4 linked regions of the Sus scrofa genome follow. The protein of the gene in region 1 interacts with the protein of each later gene in a biochemical or structural test. Links are inferred from orthologs where the notes say so. Each region holds a gene or a part of one and is shown on either strand. Other genes may lie near its edges.

The links. The genes of interacting proteins can lie anywhere in the genome.
Region 2: of the proteins of MAPK1 (region 1) and DUSP1, one has a biochemical effect on the other in vitro, tested with the Homo sapiens proteins (2 studies listed by BioGRID and IntAct). The link is inferred for Sus scrofa from reciprocal best matches to the Homo sapiens genes MAPK1 and DUSP1.
Region 3: of the proteins of MAPK1 (region 1) and SREBF2, one has a biochemical effect on the other in vitro, tested with the Homo sapiens proteins (2 studies listed by BioGRID). The link is inferred for Sus scrofa from reciprocal best matches to the Homo sapiens genes MAPK1 and SREBF2.
Region 4: of the proteins of MAPK1 (region 1) and IER3, one has a biochemical effect on the other in vitro, tested with the Homo sapiens proteins (2 studies listed by BioGRID and IntAct). The link is inferred for Sus scrofa from reciprocal best matches to the Homo sapiens genes MAPK1 and IER3.

Annotation. Positions count from the first base shown.
Region 1 is NC_010456.5:50,081,692-50,085,878, reverse strand, and holds the start of MAPK1 (mitogen-activated protein kinase 1), read right to left. Parts: upstream 2,801-4,187; 5' UTR 2,777-2,800; coding exon 2,034-2,776; intron 1-2,033. UniProt on the Homo sapiens protein: Serine/threonine kinase which acts as an essential component of the MAP kinase signal transduction pathway. MAPK1/ERK2 and MAPK3/ERK1 are the 2 MAPKs which play an important role in the MAPK/ERK cascade.
Region 2 is NC_010458.4:51,456,525-51,460,723, forward strand, and holds the start of DUSP1 (dual specificity protein phosphatase 1), read left to right. Parts: upstream 1-1,399; 5' UTR 1,400-1,737; coding exon 1,738-2,104; intron 2,105-2,380; coding exon 2,381-2,526; intron 2,527-2,867; coding exon 2,868-3,087; intron 3,088-3,520; coding exon 3,521-3,849; coding exon of another isoform or gene 3,850-3,890; 3' UTR 3,891-4,199. UniProt on the Homo sapiens protein: Dual specificity phosphatase that dephosphorylates MAP kinase MAPK1/ERK2 on both 'Thr-183' and 'Tyr-185', regulating its activity during the meiotic cell cycle.
Region 3 is NC_010447.5:6,781,925-6,786,044, reverse strand, and holds the start of SREBF2 (sterol regulatory element-binding protein 2), read left to right. Parts: upstream 1-1,320; 5' UTR 1,321-1,512; coding exon 1,513-1,600; intron 1,601-1,703; exon of another isoform or gene 1,704-2,275; intron 2,276-4,120.
Region 4 is NC_010449.5:23,265,060-23,268,279, reverse strand, and holds IER3 (radiation-inducible immediate-early gene IEX-1), read left to right. Parts: upstream 1-1,374; 5' UTR 1,375-1,411; coding exon 1,412-1,690; intron 1,691-1,786; coding exon 1,787-1,978; 3' UTR 1,979-2,720; downstream 2,721-3,220. UniProt on the Homo sapiens protein: May play a role in the ERK signaling pathway by inhibiting the dephosphorylation of ERK by phosphatase PP2A-PPP2R5C holoenzyme. Also acts as an ERK downstream effector mediating survival.

The DNA.
Region 1 (4,187 bases):
TTTTTGGTTTTTGTTTTTTTTTTTGTCTTTTTGCCATTTCTTGGGCTGCTTCCGCAGCATATGGAGGTTCCCAGGCTAGGGGTCCAATCAGAGCTGTAGCCCCTGGCCTATGCCAGAGCCACAGCAATGCAGATTCCGAGCCACGTCTGCAACCTGCACTACAGCTCACAGCAATGCCGGATCCTTAACCCACTGAGCAAGGCCAGGGATCGAACCCACAACTTCATGGTTCCTAGTCAGATTTGTTAACCACTGAGCCACGATGGGAACTCCAAAACTAGTTCTTTTCAGAGTCTATCTTAGGTTCTAATTTATCTTCTTTGGAAGGGCTGAAGGACATGACAGGCAATTCTGAACACTTCATAGAGACCTTTACTGGCACACTTACCAGCAGATACAACAGCAATCAGATGTAGGACACAAGTGATGCTGTGGGGCATTACTTTCTCTCCATTGCATTCTAGGACTGCATTTCTTTTAGGCCTCAACTAATTTAATTTCGCTTTTGGCTCCTTAGCCTCTGAATTCACGTTAATTCTCAGCTGTATACTTTGAAGCATTTTGATCTTGAAAAGAATGAAAATATTCAAGATTCAATGAAAGTCTTTTTCTTTTTTTTTAAAGTTTATGTAGTCTTTGAACCTAGCTAATGTAACTGGTAAATCATGCCCTCTATGGCCTTTCTGAAATCAAGATCATTTAAAGTTGAATATATTTCTGAAATAGATTTGCTTATGAGTAAGACAGACTAGAATTCTAAAATTATTAATAACATTATTTAAGAAAAATAGGATGTAATGAAAAGAGCTGCAGCAACTGAAGTTAAATTCTCAGTCTACAATCTCAAGTCTGACTCTTTAGTTGAATGACCTTAGGAATTGGCTTTACCAGAAATACTTTCTCATCTGAAAGATCTCACAGCCCTTCCCTCCCACCAGCTGACTATTCAAATAAAATGAGATAATATATCTAGCACAGTACCTGCCACGCAGCATTCAGTATTAGTTTTTTTCCTTCGTTCAACACAAAAGACACTCACAAGATTTAGGTATAAGGGAGTCCACACCTGCACAAGTCTTCATCAGCACAAGACAGCTAGTTAGTACTAATTTAAAAAAAAAAAAAAAACGAAAAAAAAACACCGTCACCTCCACTCCACAAACGTTTCTGAGGGATCTGCATCAAGACGAGGGAACCAGCATGTGACACTGCAAGAACTCCACCAGGACTGCATACATATTGACCACTAAAGCATTGACAGTAAAAGTCCACAATAATTGTGCTAAAACGTCTGGATGCCTTTATGCTGGTAATAGAGTTCAAGCGAGATAAAGGAAAAAGAAGCCAATTTAGGCCCAACTCCAAATGACTCCTTAATAAATCAAGAGAGGGATGCTGGTTTATCTTTCCTAAAACGCGGACAGTACGATATTAAAACCCATTTAAAAACTTCATCAAGAATGAAATATGCCAAAACAAACATTGACGCCACTAATGCTTTTTCAAAAGCCTGCGCAGGAGAGCACCGCTGGCACCACCGAAGGTATCTGATGAAAGCCGTGCGTGGAAAACGCAGGCGAGGGAAGGAAAATAACAGACGGTCATTTCGGGGCGGGGCACACACGCCGCGGCCGCCGCCGCCAGCATCTGAAGGAATTCGCGGCTTCCCACCCCGGCGCGAAGAGCAGGCCGCGCGGCGCACACCCAGGCCGGGGAGGGGGGCGGGGGGGGCGGAGGGGGCCTAGGTTCCCGGGCCGGGGTCCTGGATCCAGTGTCCACCCCCCGCCCCCTCCCCGCGCCGAGCAACGCCCCAGCCCGACCAGCCCCGCCCCGACCGAGGCCCCGCTGCGGTTGGCGGCGCAGCGGGCCTGGGTCGGAGGTCGGAGGTCCGGGTTGGGGTAGGGGCTGGGTCCGCGTCCGGGGTCGGGGTCAGGGTCGGGGTCCGGAGAGCAAGCGGGGCAGCAGCGGTGAGCCCGGCTGGGGGGGAGGGGAGGGCGGCGGGCGCGGCCAGGCCGCGGGGCATGGACACTCACCACACCATGCCGTAGGCGCCCTCGCCGATGTAGGAGAGGTTGGTGTAGCGCGGCCCCACGTCGAACACCTGCCCGCGGACCATCTCGGGGCCCGCGCCCGCCGCCGCCGCCGCCATGTTGGCTGCCGGGCCGCCGCCGCCGCCGCCGCACTGGGCTCGATGCTCCGCGGCCGCTGCTCGGCCCACGCTGCACCAACGGGGAGACCGCGCCCCAGCCGCTGCAGCCGCCGCCGCTGGCCGGGAAGAATCAGTGAGGGACCCGCTCGGGAGAGGTAGATAGCCACCGACCGCTCGTACCGACTGCCCGCCTGACTGACTGACGGGCGGGCCGGCGGGCGGAGGGAGGGGCGCGCGCCGAGGAGGGCGCCGGGGCAGGGCCGTAGGCGTGAGCGCGGATTGGCTCCCGCGGCCTGGGGGCAGGGCTGCGCGGCCGGCGGAAGAGGCGCGTTGGGGGCGGAGCACTGCAGCGGCGGGGCGGGGCGCGGTCACGTGCGCTCGCGGGAGGCGGCGGGGAAACGCTGAGGACTCCGAGGCGGGGCGAGCTTGCGGGGCCGAACGGGCGGGGCAGCGGGCCGAGAGAAGCTCCGGGCGGCTCCCTCCGAGTAGGAGCGCGACCGGGGCGGATTCCCCCCGCCCCCGCGCGCCGAGCCAGGTTTGTGAGAGTCCGGGGCCCATACAGATTAGAGGCCTCGAGACCCGCACAGAAGCCGGAAGGGTGACCGAGACCGAGAGAGATATTTGCATCCTGAGAAAGTGTGAAACCCAGAGTGGGAGGCGGAGACAAGAAGCCCGGACGCGGCCCGCTCCGGCAGAGGCTCGTTCAACAAGTGTCACCGCGTTCCTGCGCGTCCACCCTCCTCGAAGCTACCCTCCAGGAGATGATGGATGGACGGTCGATGGATCTGAAGGAAGACTCAAGTTGTCTGCGAAGTACTGCGAAGAAAAGGAGAGCAGAGTAAGGGGTTCGGGAGTAGTGGGTTGAGACCCTGAGAAAAACACTGAGATTCAGAGACTGGCACCCAAGTTGGTACAGATGGGCAGGATCTTACCCAGGTAGAAACGCGAAAAAAACAAGTATTAACATCTAGAGAAAACGAGTTAGACGCACTGAGGTTCAGAGATTGTCACAAAAATGGAAAAGAATGTATATATGTATAACTGAATCACTTTGCTGTATAGCAGAAATGAACACAACATAAATCAACTGTAACTTTAATAGTCACAAACACCAGAGGTTGAAAATAAAAGGCAGAATCTTGAAGCAGGTGAATTCGATAAACAGCTAAGACAATGAGACAGAAGATGATCCAGCCCTTGCTTCTGAGCCACTTCATTGGAGTCACCTGCGTCGTCTTGGAAAGGGGACTAAGGGTGGGAAATTCTGCGTCCTGATTGTCTGACACTGTGATCCAGAAAGCCTGGACTTCCAGTCATCAACAAAGATCAACTAGACAGTCTTGAAGATGAATAAGCAAAAGAGAAAAAAATCCTCTGGGGAAAAAAAAAAACATGTGGCATATGAGAAAATAAATAAAGGGCTACAGCCAAAAAGTACTCTTTTGAAATATGTTTAGTCCATAAAGTAGAACCCAACACCTGATTCTTATTCCTTTTTTTTTTTTTTTTTTTTTTTTGTCTTTTTGCCTTTTCTAGGGCCACTTCCCACGGCATGTGGAGGTTCCCAGGCTAGGGGTCTAATCAGAGCTGTAGCCACCGGCCTATGCCAAAGCCACAGCAATGCAGGATCCTTAACCCACTGAGCAAGGCCAGGGATCAAACCCTCAACCTCAGGGTTCCTAGTCAGATTTGTTAACCACTGAGCCATGACAGGAACTCCCTGATTCTTGATTAAAAGAAGAACTTGCATCTTTTAAAGGACAGGCCAAGATAAATAGAGGGTACCATGAAATTAAAACCACAATAGCCAAAGTAAAAGCAATGGTTGGAGCTGTAATAAGCAGACTTAACAGTGTAGAAGAGCAAGTCAGCAGGATAGGAGACGACTATGAGAAAAAGCTGGTGATGAAATTCTTTAAGAAGAAAATGTACAAGAGAACAAACACCACAAAGTCAAACTACAGGCACCCCCTCCCCAAAGAAGACAGAGCAAATCACTTAGAGGCAATAACTTACAGTAAAAGAAAACCTGCCTTAA
Region 2 (4,199 bases), on another chromosome or scaffold:
CACAAGCTAAGCGAGACAAATGCAGAAGTTTCCCCCGGTGATACAATCCGCGATCAACGACATAGGGTGGCCGTGAAATCCCCGCCCCCACCTCCCCGGGAGGAGGGGTAGGAAACCACAGAATGTTCCTGACCAGGCAATCCAGCCCGGTGGCGCAATGTTTATGTTTGTGTACCTAGCACATCGGTGCCGCCCGAAGGAGGCTCTGCCGCCTGAGGTGGGGGGTGGGGGTTGTCACTCGGTAGCCCAGGACGAGGGTAACCGCATGCGGGTCTCCCCAAATGCGCGTCCAGGTCCTGGTAATCCTCTTAGAGCACCCAGGATGGGGATTTCGAGTTAAGCCCATATTAGTGGCGAGAACCAGGGCGTGGGGGCTGGGCCCGGCTCCTGTTCCTGACTCCTGTTCCCAGCTGGAGGCTCCCAGCCCAGGGCAGAGTTAGGTGCTCAATCAGTGCACATTTGGGGAATAAAGAGATGGAGTGGCTACAACTGTCTTTAAGTAAACGTGACCCAAAACATGTCTGGCGGCCTCGGGAGGGCGCTGTCGAGCCGCGCTGGGGGGGGGGTCCGCCTCCCTTAACACGGAACCCCGCAGTCCTCGACCTGACTTTACGACCCCCCCGACCAGGATTTCAGCCCTCTGAAATCTTCTAACCTTTCTTAGTTCACAATGGTCTGGGCAAGCACATGACTGAGAAAGACCTTTTTCCTCTTGGGTTTGACTGGAAGGCATTTTACTTGTTAAATGTACATTTTATTTTTAAGTAACAGGAGAGTAGTCTGGGGAGTAGGAAAATATTTCCCTGAACACCTCCACCCCAACTCACCCCGGTTGTTCTTGGCTGGACAAACTCGTTAATTTTCCTCCAACCTTCATTTCAGGCTCCTCTCTGTCCCTCGACCCCCAGCAGCGTGATGCTGGGCAAGTAAATAGCCTCTCCTTGAGAACCTGTTTCCTCGCCTGTTGGGGATGAGGAAATGAGAGAAAGGGGCCCACATCTCTGCAAAAACGCAGGAAACCCCTTTCCGTTCTGCTCTGCGGCGGAGGGGGCGCGGGGAAGGGGCACAGGGCGGGGGGAAGGGAGGCGGAGGCCGGTGGCATGCGGCCTGATCTCCCAGCCGCTCTCAACACCGAGGTCAGCCTTCAGCTGCTCGCGCGCCCTTCCTCTCTCCTCCCTGCCGGTCCCGGAGAGTAGCTCGGGCCAGCTCCCCGGGGACGCGCCAGGCGCAGGCCGGACGGCCCGGCGGGGGATGGGACCCGAGCCAGAGCGCAGCCAGCGGACCCCACTCAGAGGCCGATGACGTCTTCCCCTTTGGCTCGGCCGGCGCCAAGCCCGGCAGGGCGGGTGACGTCACCACACCGGTCACGTGACCGTCATTCAAACAAACAACCCCCTCCCCTTGCGCGCGCGCGCGCGCGCGCGCCTCCGCGCGCCCCTCCCCGCCCCGCCCGCCGAGAGGCCACATATAAGCGCGCTTCCCGCGGGTCTGACTCGCCGTGAAGGACGTTGGGGTTGTAGGTTCTACGCGGGTTGGAGGGGCAGGCAGGGGAGCAGTAAGGAACCCGAGGCGGTCGAGAGACCCGCACGAAGACCCTTCGCTCAGCCCAGAGGCAGTTTGGAGTTTGGCTTAAAGAAAACGAGGGTCAGGCTTTTCCTCGAAAGCCGTCGCCCTCCCCTTGGCTTCCGAGGACAAAGAGCACAAGAAGACTTCACGCTGGGGGCGCTGGGGCCGGCCATGGTCATGGAAGTGGGATCCCTGGACGCCGGAGGCCTGAGGACGCTGCTGCGGGAGCGCGCGGCGCAGTGTCTGCTGTTGGACTGTCGCTCCTTCTTCGCTTTCAACGCCGGCCACATCGCCGGCTCCGTCAACGTGCGCTTCAGTACCATCGTGCGGCGCCGGGCCAAGGGCGCCATGGGCCTGGAGCACATCGTGCCCAACGCGGAGCTGCGCGGCCGCCTGCTGGCCGGCGCCTACCACGCCGTGGTGCTGCTGGACGAGCGCAGCGCTGCCTTGGAGTGCGCCAAACGCGACGGCACCCTGGCTCTGGCCGCCGGAGCGCTCTGCCGCGAGGCGCGCGGCGCGCAAATCTTCTTGCTCAAAGGTACGCCCTCGGGGACGCTCAGGGGCGGGCCGCACGCCCCCTGTCGCCTAGCCCGGGGACCCCCGGCTCTCAGCATCTAGGGGACTGCCCCACCTGGAGCGCCTGGGCGCTCGATCCGCATTCTGGGGACTTGTTGGCTTTGTTTGGTCTGTGAACAAAGACTCGCCTGGGCCTCTCCGGGGTAAACTTCCAGTCCCGTTGGATAGCGGAGTTGTTTGAAGGGTGCCCTGTGTCGGCGGTACTAATGGGAAAAAAAATGTCTCTTTGTATTCCCAGGAGGATATGAAGCTTTTTCTGTTTCCTGCCCGGAGCTCTGCAGCAAACAGTCGACCCCCATGGGGCTCAGCCTTCCCCTGAGTACTAGCGTCCCTGACAGCACCGAATCAGGGTGCAGTTCTTGCAGCACTCCACTCTACGATCAGGTTAGTAGGGGGCCTTACCAGAGGGGAGAAGGAACAGCTGGTAAATGTAGGAGAATATAGAAAGTGACATGCAGCTTTATTTATAACGGGGGACACGGGGATATTTATCCCGTGGTTAAGTGGTATGATGGAGCTGAGTCTCTAATTGTTGGCACTACAGAAGTGAACTTTGTTGGCCCTGCCCAAGCAACTGGGCTTAGTCCCCTATTTTCTATACCAGCAAGATGCTGCGAAGGTCACCCAGTATTGAAACTGACTTGTTCAGGGAGTTTTTGTGGGTGTGGGCATGAGCATTGCCATTGAACAAGGCTTGACAAGTGTTGGATGTTTCTGGATTTCAGGGTGGCCCAGTGGAGATCCTACCCTTTCTCTACCTGGGGAGTGCCTACCATGCTTCTCGCAAGGACATGCTGGATGCCTTGGGTATCACTGCCTTGATCAACGTCTCGGCCAACTGTCCCAACCATTTTGAGGGTCACTACCAGTACAAGAGCATCCCCGTTGAGGACAACCACAAGGCGGACATCAGCTCCTGGTTCAATGAGGCAATCGATTTCATCGGTAAATAAGTGGAACAAGATGCCTGGGACCTGTGCCTCCCTGTTTTAGTTTGAGCCACCGAGCCTAAACTCTACAGCAAGAACTTGAGGGACATTCTTTTAAGCTGTAGACATTACTCTCAGTCAGGTGTGGGTGGCATCCCTATGAAGCATAGATTTGATGTCCCACTTTACAGGTTAGCAAACCGAATCTCAGAATGTTGACTTAATTTGTCCCACATGGGTCTGCTCACATGCCCTGGTCTGGGTTTACATGCCCTGTTCCTCTTGCGCAGTGCCCCCATCCGCCTCCAGGAACAGGGCCCATGTGATGGCATGAGGTGATAGTGACCACCTCTGGACAGGACACACACAGCATCTCTTAGACACCCTCTCCCTGGGGTTGGGGTTGTTCTCCTGGGCTCTCAAGTAACCCGCTGCCCTTTGTTTTCCAGATTCCATCAAGAATGCCGGCGGAAGGGTGTTTGTCCACTGCCAGGCGGGCATTTCCCGATCGGCCACCATCTGCCTCGCTTACCTCATGAGGACTAACCGAGTCAAGCTGGACGAGGCCTTTGAGTTTGTGAAGCAGAGGAGGAGCATCATCTCCCCCAACTTCAGCTTCATGGGCCAGCTGCTGCAGTTTGAGTCCCAGGTCCTGGCCCCGCACTGCTCGGCGGAGGCTGGGAGCCCGGCCATGGCCGTGCTGGACCGAGGCGCCTCCACCACCACCGTCTTCAACTTCCCCGTCTCCATCCCCGTCACCCCACGAACAGTGCGTTGAGCTACCTTCAGAGCCCCATCACGACCTCTCCCAGCTGCTGAAAGGCCACGGGAGGTGATCTTCACAACCCACCGGGACTCCAGGCTCCTTCTTGCAAGGAGACATGCAATAACTCCAAGGAAGGGGGCTCGCGAGGGCTGGTCCTTCCTTATTTAATTTCATCCGAATTCCACTGGGTTCCTGGGCGGTCCTGGGGATGACTTGGCGCCAAGACCGTCTGCTGAACTCAGCACATTGGGGACCAACATGCCGTGCGTGGGTGCATCAAGTCTCTGACAAAAGGGGCAGAAGAGAGAGGACTCGGTGTGCGAGCCGATTTTTTTCTGCTGGGCCCTGTTTCCTGAAGAAAC
Region 3 (4,120 bases), on another chromosome or scaffold:
GTTTTCTTTACCGGACCAGAGGCTCTCAGAGGGCAGGAATTGTCTCTTTGCTTGCCCCAGAGATGTTCAATAAATATTGTCAAATGAATGTGCAATGTGATTGGTTGAATTGTGTGATTCCACTTTCCTCACAACTATGAGGGACACTATTCCCATGTTAGAGATGACAAAACTGAAGCTTAGGGCGTTTATTTAGCTCAGAGTCACTCGTTCATAAATGGACCCGTATGCCTGCCTTCACAGGGCCTGTGAAGTCTGTCTTGACCACCAAGCAACAGCTGCCTCTCACAGACCAGCAGTAAACATACTTTCCCCTTTTAATACTGTGAAAGTCGTTGTCAACAGATAGACATTCATGTATGTAATGTTTAATGATGCCATGATAATTACATTGTGTGGATGTAATTTATTCAGCAGGTCGTTATTGGGCTTCCCAATTTTTCTCAATTTACAGAAGACTCTGATGAACGCCTTTGAACACACAAACTTGCAAATTTTTTAAACACTCATATTTGTCTTCCTTATTTATAAATTCCTAGAAACGTGCACATTTGTTTATATCGTGACCAGCTGCAGAACTGAGAAGTTTAAGAGTGGGAATCCGTGGGTGGGTTGCGCCTCATAATCCCCGCATGATGCTCATGCCCGGACCCAACCTCTGGAGGCCTGTGATAGTTCCAGGCACTGGCATTATTTTAAAGGACTGCAAGGGATTCTGATGTACCGGGGTGAGACTGGGTGAGGCTGTCGGAGTAAGCGCGTCGTCGCGGCAGGTGCAAAGGCGCATGAATTGCAAAACATGCTCCACTCTTAGGCGGTTCGCGAGCTTTCGTAGCGCCTTTGCAAGGGGCTTAGCTGGAACGTGACTTTAACGATCTAAGGATTCCTCCGTGCTCCAGTACTAGGGGTCTAGGTTTGATTCCACCCGCTTCCCCAGCGGGCTGGGATCGTGGGGAGGGCGGGAACAGCTGGGAAGATGACGTAATGTGCTTAAGGCTGGCTTCGGGGGCCTCCCGCGGCCGGGGGCGGAACTTGTTAACCCTTCAACTCCCAGCAGTCAGAGGTAGTAGCTTGCGGAGCCAAACCAACAAAAAAGGGAGCGGTTCCTTTAAACGAGGGGAAGAAGGTTGGACTGAGGACCCGGAGCCTTCTCTTCGCATTCGCTAAGAGGCCGCCAGGGGAGGAGCCTTCTTATGCAAATCTGAGCTGCTGATCGTTGACGCGCCATCACCCCACGCGCCGCTCCGCAAGGCGATTGGTCAAGATGGGCCTGGTCCCATTGACAACAAACAAGGGGGTGCGCGGCCTGGGGGCGGGGCCATAGAGGGCGCGGGTTGGGGCGGGGGAATCCCGCCCCGCCCTCCCGCGCAGCGCAAACATGGCGGCGGTTGGCACCGGCCGGTGAGGCAGTACCGGGCGGGAGCTCTTGGGTGTCATGGGTGGTGACGGCGGCACCGCCCTCGCGTCTCCCTGAGCGGGACGGCAGGGGGGTCCTCTGCGCCGAGCCGGGCGATGGACGAAAGCGGCGAGCTGGGCGGTCTGGAGACCATGGAGACCCTCACGGAGCTGGGCGACGAGCTGACCCTAGGGGACATCGACGGTGAGTGATGGGTGGGTGGGTGGATGGGAGTGCGGGGGCGCGCGGAGAGGAAGGGGTTACGGCGGCGCGCGCGGGGGCGCGTACGCCCATCCCCCGGCACCCCAGTCTCGCGCGGGAAGAACCGGCACGCGCGGTCGCCCCGGCAGTCCCCAGCCCTCGGCGCTGCGGGTTTCAGCCCCGCCGGGCCGCTCGGTTTCGGCAGACCATGGGATCTTGTCGGGGGCGTCGCGGGGGAGCGGCCTGAGGGGAGCGCGCGGCCGCCGTTTCCCTTGCGCGCCTACACGCGCCGCCCGAGGTCCCGCTTGCCAGCCAGCGGGCCCACGTCGCACCTGTCACTCCCCGCCCGGCCGCGTGGGCAGCTTGGGATTCCCGGGGCCGGGCCCCCAGGCTCCGCGCGCTCACCCCTCAGGTCTTCTCCGGGTTGAGCCACGGCCCAGTTTCTCCGTGCTTCGGGAAACTTTGGGCAGCGAGCGGCCGCAGAAGCAGGTTGCTGATGAAACGAGTGGTGGCGGCGTAACGTGGACGCATCTCTCCGGGGTTGAGACCGGGCCGCTCCTGCTGTCGTTCTGCACAGGGAGTTGAGCAGCAGGAGTTTTGAGTTGTGGCCCCTCGGGGACAGGCTGGGGAGCGGGTGGCCTTTGTTCCGACGACCTTAACAGCGGAAAGGAAGAGCTGGTAGGAGCCCAGGGATGCTCTCTTGCAATACTCTCATTTGGTGGCTACGGAACCTAAAGTTTGCAGAGGGTCAGCGGCTTGCCCGGGGTCCCCCAGCTGGTTACAGAGCACAGTTCCTGGGCCAGTGTTGGTGTCGCCACTACCTGATCCTGGGGGGTGAGGAGTCCAGTGAATAGGTTAGTCACCAAAATAATAATTCTCAGTAGTTGGGCTCTTCCGATATTCTAGGCCCCAGACACTTTATATTGTTTCACTTATTCCTCACTACAGTCACTCGAGATAGATGTTCTTATTGCTCCTACTTTACAGGACACTGAGAGCAGGAGGTGTTAACTTTAGATTGTCCAGAACCCATGCTCTTAATCAGTAACTCAGGTGTGTTTTGCTCTTGAGTTTTACCAAGTGCTTTCAAGTCCAAGATCTCACTACAGCCTTGCAGGCAGGTAGGATGGCTCCCATTTAATTATACAGATGAAGAAACCCAGGCAGCAGAAGATTCTCTTCCAGGGGATGAGATAGTGGCAGAGGCTAATTGAAAAGGATCTGTTTCACATTTTGCTTTGGTTACATTTCACCCCTCGGCCTGACCTTGCTTTCTGATTTTGGTCATCCAGGCAGTGTGGTAAGATCCTTAAATGAAACCTCAAGTCTAACCACAGACTTTTCCACTGAGTGCTGCTAAATACAGAGATGTGTTGACAAATGGGGGAGGGAGGTTCTGAGAACTTAACAAGGGCAGCTAACATGTTGTGAGTATTTACGTGCCAGGCACCGTATTAAATCCTCACACATATTAATGTTTTAGATTCTTTTTTTTTTCCTTAGTTTTATTTTAAGGCCGCACCTGCAGCATATGGAAGTTCCTGGGTCAGGGATTGAATTTAAGCCACAGCTGCGACTGGGGCAATACTCAATCCTTTAACCCACTGTGGGGGGCCAGGGATGGAACCTGCACCTGAGCCCCTGCCCTGCAGTTGGATTCTTAACCCACTGTGCCACAGTGGGGACGCTAATGTTCTCAATTCTTAACGAGTTCCATCAGGGAGACTCCTTGTCATACTACACTCCTCCCCTTCTTGTGGATCCTGACACTGAGGCTCAGGGCCTCATTAACTTACCCAAGTTTACATAGCCAGTAAGGATTATGTCCAAAGCTGCCTACCAGCAAGCTCACACAGAGAAATTTGTGTGCATTTTGCATTCCCATTCCAAAATTGATCCCTATTTGTCTTAATTTGTAATGTGTTAAAGTACCTAGTAGTTAAGTATTAACCTTATCCCCATAGATTCCTGAGTAAAATGTACATTCTGGAAACTACCAGAGTGGTTCAGTGGCTTCACGGGGCTCCATATTAGATTTGGGGGAAAGTGGCTCCCTGTCTTCATTGGTCAACAAGTATTCAAGTGCCAGCTGTGGTTTCTGAGCTTCAGGGAACATGGAAAGATAGAAAAGATATGGATAGATATGTTGTGGCTCAGCAGTAATGAACCCAACTAGTATCCATGAGGATGCGGGTTTGATCCCTGGCCTCGCTCAGTGGCTTAAGGATCCCGAGTTGCTGTGAGCTGTGGTATAGGTCACAGACACGGCTCATATCCTGTAGTGCTGTGGCTGTAGTGTAGACCGGCAGCTGTAGTTCCCATTCACCCCCTAGCCTGGGAACCTCCGTATGCTGCAAGTGTGGCCCTAAAAAAAGCAAAAAAAAAAACCAAAACCAACAACAACAAACAAAAAAAGAATAGGAAAGATAGAATTTTATGACTTCATGGAGCTGGAGATGAATAATGAAACTGTGGTGCCAAGTACAGAACAGCTCACAATTACCCAGAGCAGTGATGGAACAT
Region 4 (3,220 bases), on another chromosome or scaffold:
ATTCCCCAAACACATCCTGTACTTTTCCGCTCAAGGCCTTTGCTGATTCCATTCTCTTTCTCAGTCATCTTCCACATCTGACTCTGTGGTATCCCCCCCACTGTTCAAGGTCCTTTCAAATGCCATTATTCCCTGAAGCCTCGCCTGATTGATTAGACAGACATGAACAGTAGTTCTCCTGGCATCTGGCATGCCCGGCTCCCCAGCACACATGAGGAAACTCCCCTTGGTACTCAACAGTACCATTTAACAGGAAGCCTGGCTCCATGAATGCTCAAAAGATGTTATATTCTGTGTCCGTGAACAGCTATTTCTAAGGCAGTTAAAGAAAATGTGTCAGTTCTCGAGTTATTGTCATTACCACATTTGCAAAATGTCTCGCAGTTTAAATGTTCCTCACATAAACTTAAATCCGGGTGGCTACTAACTTCTTGCCTTTGTATTTTGTGTCCTCTGCTCCAGCCATGTATGAACATTTGTGCACATTGCTGGGTTGCCCCTGTGTGGTGTCTGCACCTTTGTTCTGTGTATGCGTGTGTGTGTTGTGTGTATATTGAAGGGTAGCAGAATATGTCACCCCAAAATGTGCCTCTTTGGAGCATGCGGATTATTTTGAGCAGAAGGCAATCAAGATCAACAGACTCTGGAAAAGCTTTTTACCTCTCCCTTAACTGCCTAAATAACTTAAGTAGGGGGCCTGACCCAGGGAGAGATAGCTTTCATCTGCAAGATTTACCTGCTTGGCAGGGCAAACATCTAATTAGCAAACATCCTCCTGTGAATTACCTACCTCCCCTTCAAGCCCCAGGTCCCTATCTCATTCCTTAGCTCTGGATGGTTTATAAACCTCAACTGAATGACTGCCTTTGAATCTCAAGTCTTCATGGGCTCCTGTAAGCATGCAATTAAATTTGTTTTCTCTTGTTAATCTATCCTATGTCAATTTAATTATTAGACCAGCCAAAGGAGAAATTTTTCTGCCTCTGCAGTGTGGTGTGTGTGTGCCAGTGTATTGGTTTCCCTTAGGCTTTTTGGCTATTTCTGTAGTGACTTGCCTCTTAATCCCCACAGACGTGTGAATGTGCATGTGTAACTGTGGTTCTTTTGTTGGGTCAATATTGTAGCAGAATGGCCAGACTTCCTTATTTAAGCCTTCCTGCCTCCCCAGAGATGGGGCTTGTGGCTGAACCATCTCAAACAGTCTGTGGGCACCTCTCCAGCTGCTACATGTCCCCACATGTGTCCACAGCCCGGGATTTCACCCGCCTCCACTCACAACTCACAACACACACTTGAGGCCTTCCTTGACCCTGGCCAACTCTCCACCCCCTCCCTTTGCTTAACCGTCGGAATTTCCAGCCGCCCGGCCAACCGCTCTCAGCCGCGGGTGGAGTTGAGTAAGGGCCCGCCCATGCTCGAGTACATAACTGGCGCGGCGGGGCTGTGGGGCCAGTCGTCCTTCTGTTCAGCTCGGCGCACAATGTGTCACTCTCGCAGCTCTCTCCCTACCATGACCATCCTGCGGGCCCCGACCCCGGCCCCCTCCACCAGCCCGGTGCCCCGGCGAGGCTCTGGTCCCGAGATATTCACCTTCGATCCTCTCCCGGAGCCCGCGGTGGCCCCCGCCGCGCGCCCCAGCGCCTCCCGCGGGCTCCGAAAGCGCAGCCGTCGGGTCCTCTACCCACGAGTGGTGAGTGTCGGCGAAGCGGACAGCCCGGGGGAAGAGCAGGGTAAACCACTGGATGCCGGGGCCCTGACCTAACCCCCTTTTGTCATCTCCCCTCAGGTCCGGCGCCAGCTGCCAGTCGAGGATCCGAACCCTGCCAAAAAGCTACTCTTTCTCCTGCTTACCATCGTCTTCTGTCAGATCCTGATGGCTGAAGAGGGTGTGTCGGCACCCCTGGCCCCTGAAGACACCCCCAGCGCCCCATCCCCCGCGCCCACCGCTGCGCCCCCAGTTCTTGAGCCCTTAATCTGACCTCGGAGCCCTCGGACTACGCTTTGGACCTCAGCACTTTTCTCCAGCAACACCCAGCCGCTTTCTAACCCTGACTGCCCACACCCCCAAAAGAATCTGAAAACACAAGGAAACACCGGGTGTACCTGGTGCGCAAGAGCGTATCCCAAACTGGGACTCCTGAGGCAACTCACACTCAGAACACTACAGCGGAGACGCCCGCCCTGGGAGCCTGGGAGAGACAGGCACCGACACGCTGGGGCTGGGCCGGATGGGGAGGAAGACTGTTGTTAATTTATTTCTCATTGCTCCTAATAATATTTATATGTATTTATGTATGTCCCCCTAGGTGATGGAGGGGGGCACCTAATATTTATTTTAACTTATGCTGCGGAGCGAGATGTGCTCCCTGCTGCAAGTGCAGATCTCTGGGTATTTATTGAGTTCTGTGGGATTGGTGGAGGCAAGCACCAGAACTGAGGGAGGGTGGGAGAGGGATGGAGAAAACTCGGGTCCGGGCTGGGAATCGAAGACGGTGGTGGGTCCTAGGTTTAGCGGGTGACACTTTAGGTCCTCCAGCATCTGAACTCTCGGCTCTACTATGTGAGGCTTCGGGGGACCGTGGAAATATTGTCCTTGGCCTTCGATCTCCTTGAAGTTGCCCCCAAGGGGTGGCTGCGGGGGTGAGTGGGCTGTCAGAGGGCGGCTGTGGGGTCGCCCAGTATGTTCTGTGAACACAAATAAACTTGATTTACTGTCAACAGTCATGTGAGTGTCTCTGCAAGCGGTGATGCCCACTCCTCATAGACTTCAGGCTCCAGGGCCGGGCGGGAGGAGCCACGACCACATCCCCAGAGGGCTCTCCTCCCGGGGGCCCTGGGCTCCCGCCCCGAGACTCGAGGCTCGGAACCCAGCATCCGGTGACCGGATGCTGTCGTTCGTTGCCCAGTCTGCGGTATTCCCAGTTAGTTTCTGCGGGGCAAATCCGAGATGAGTCAATCTCTCACCCCGGGGTGCGGGACACACGAAGGTCACGTCCCGCGCGCTGGGGCGGAGCGTGGGGAGGGGCGTGAGGCGGGGCTCCCAGTCCCACTCGTGGCTCGCTCGGCCGCAGGGGTGGGCGGGGAACTTGCGAGCTGCGGGCCGGAGCAGGGCCTGCCGGGAAAGGGGCGGGCCGAGCGCCGGGGGCGGGTGGGGTGCTGCGGGGGGCGGGGTCGTGTCTGCCGCAGCAACAGGGTGTGGCCGGGTAGGGGGCGCGGGCGC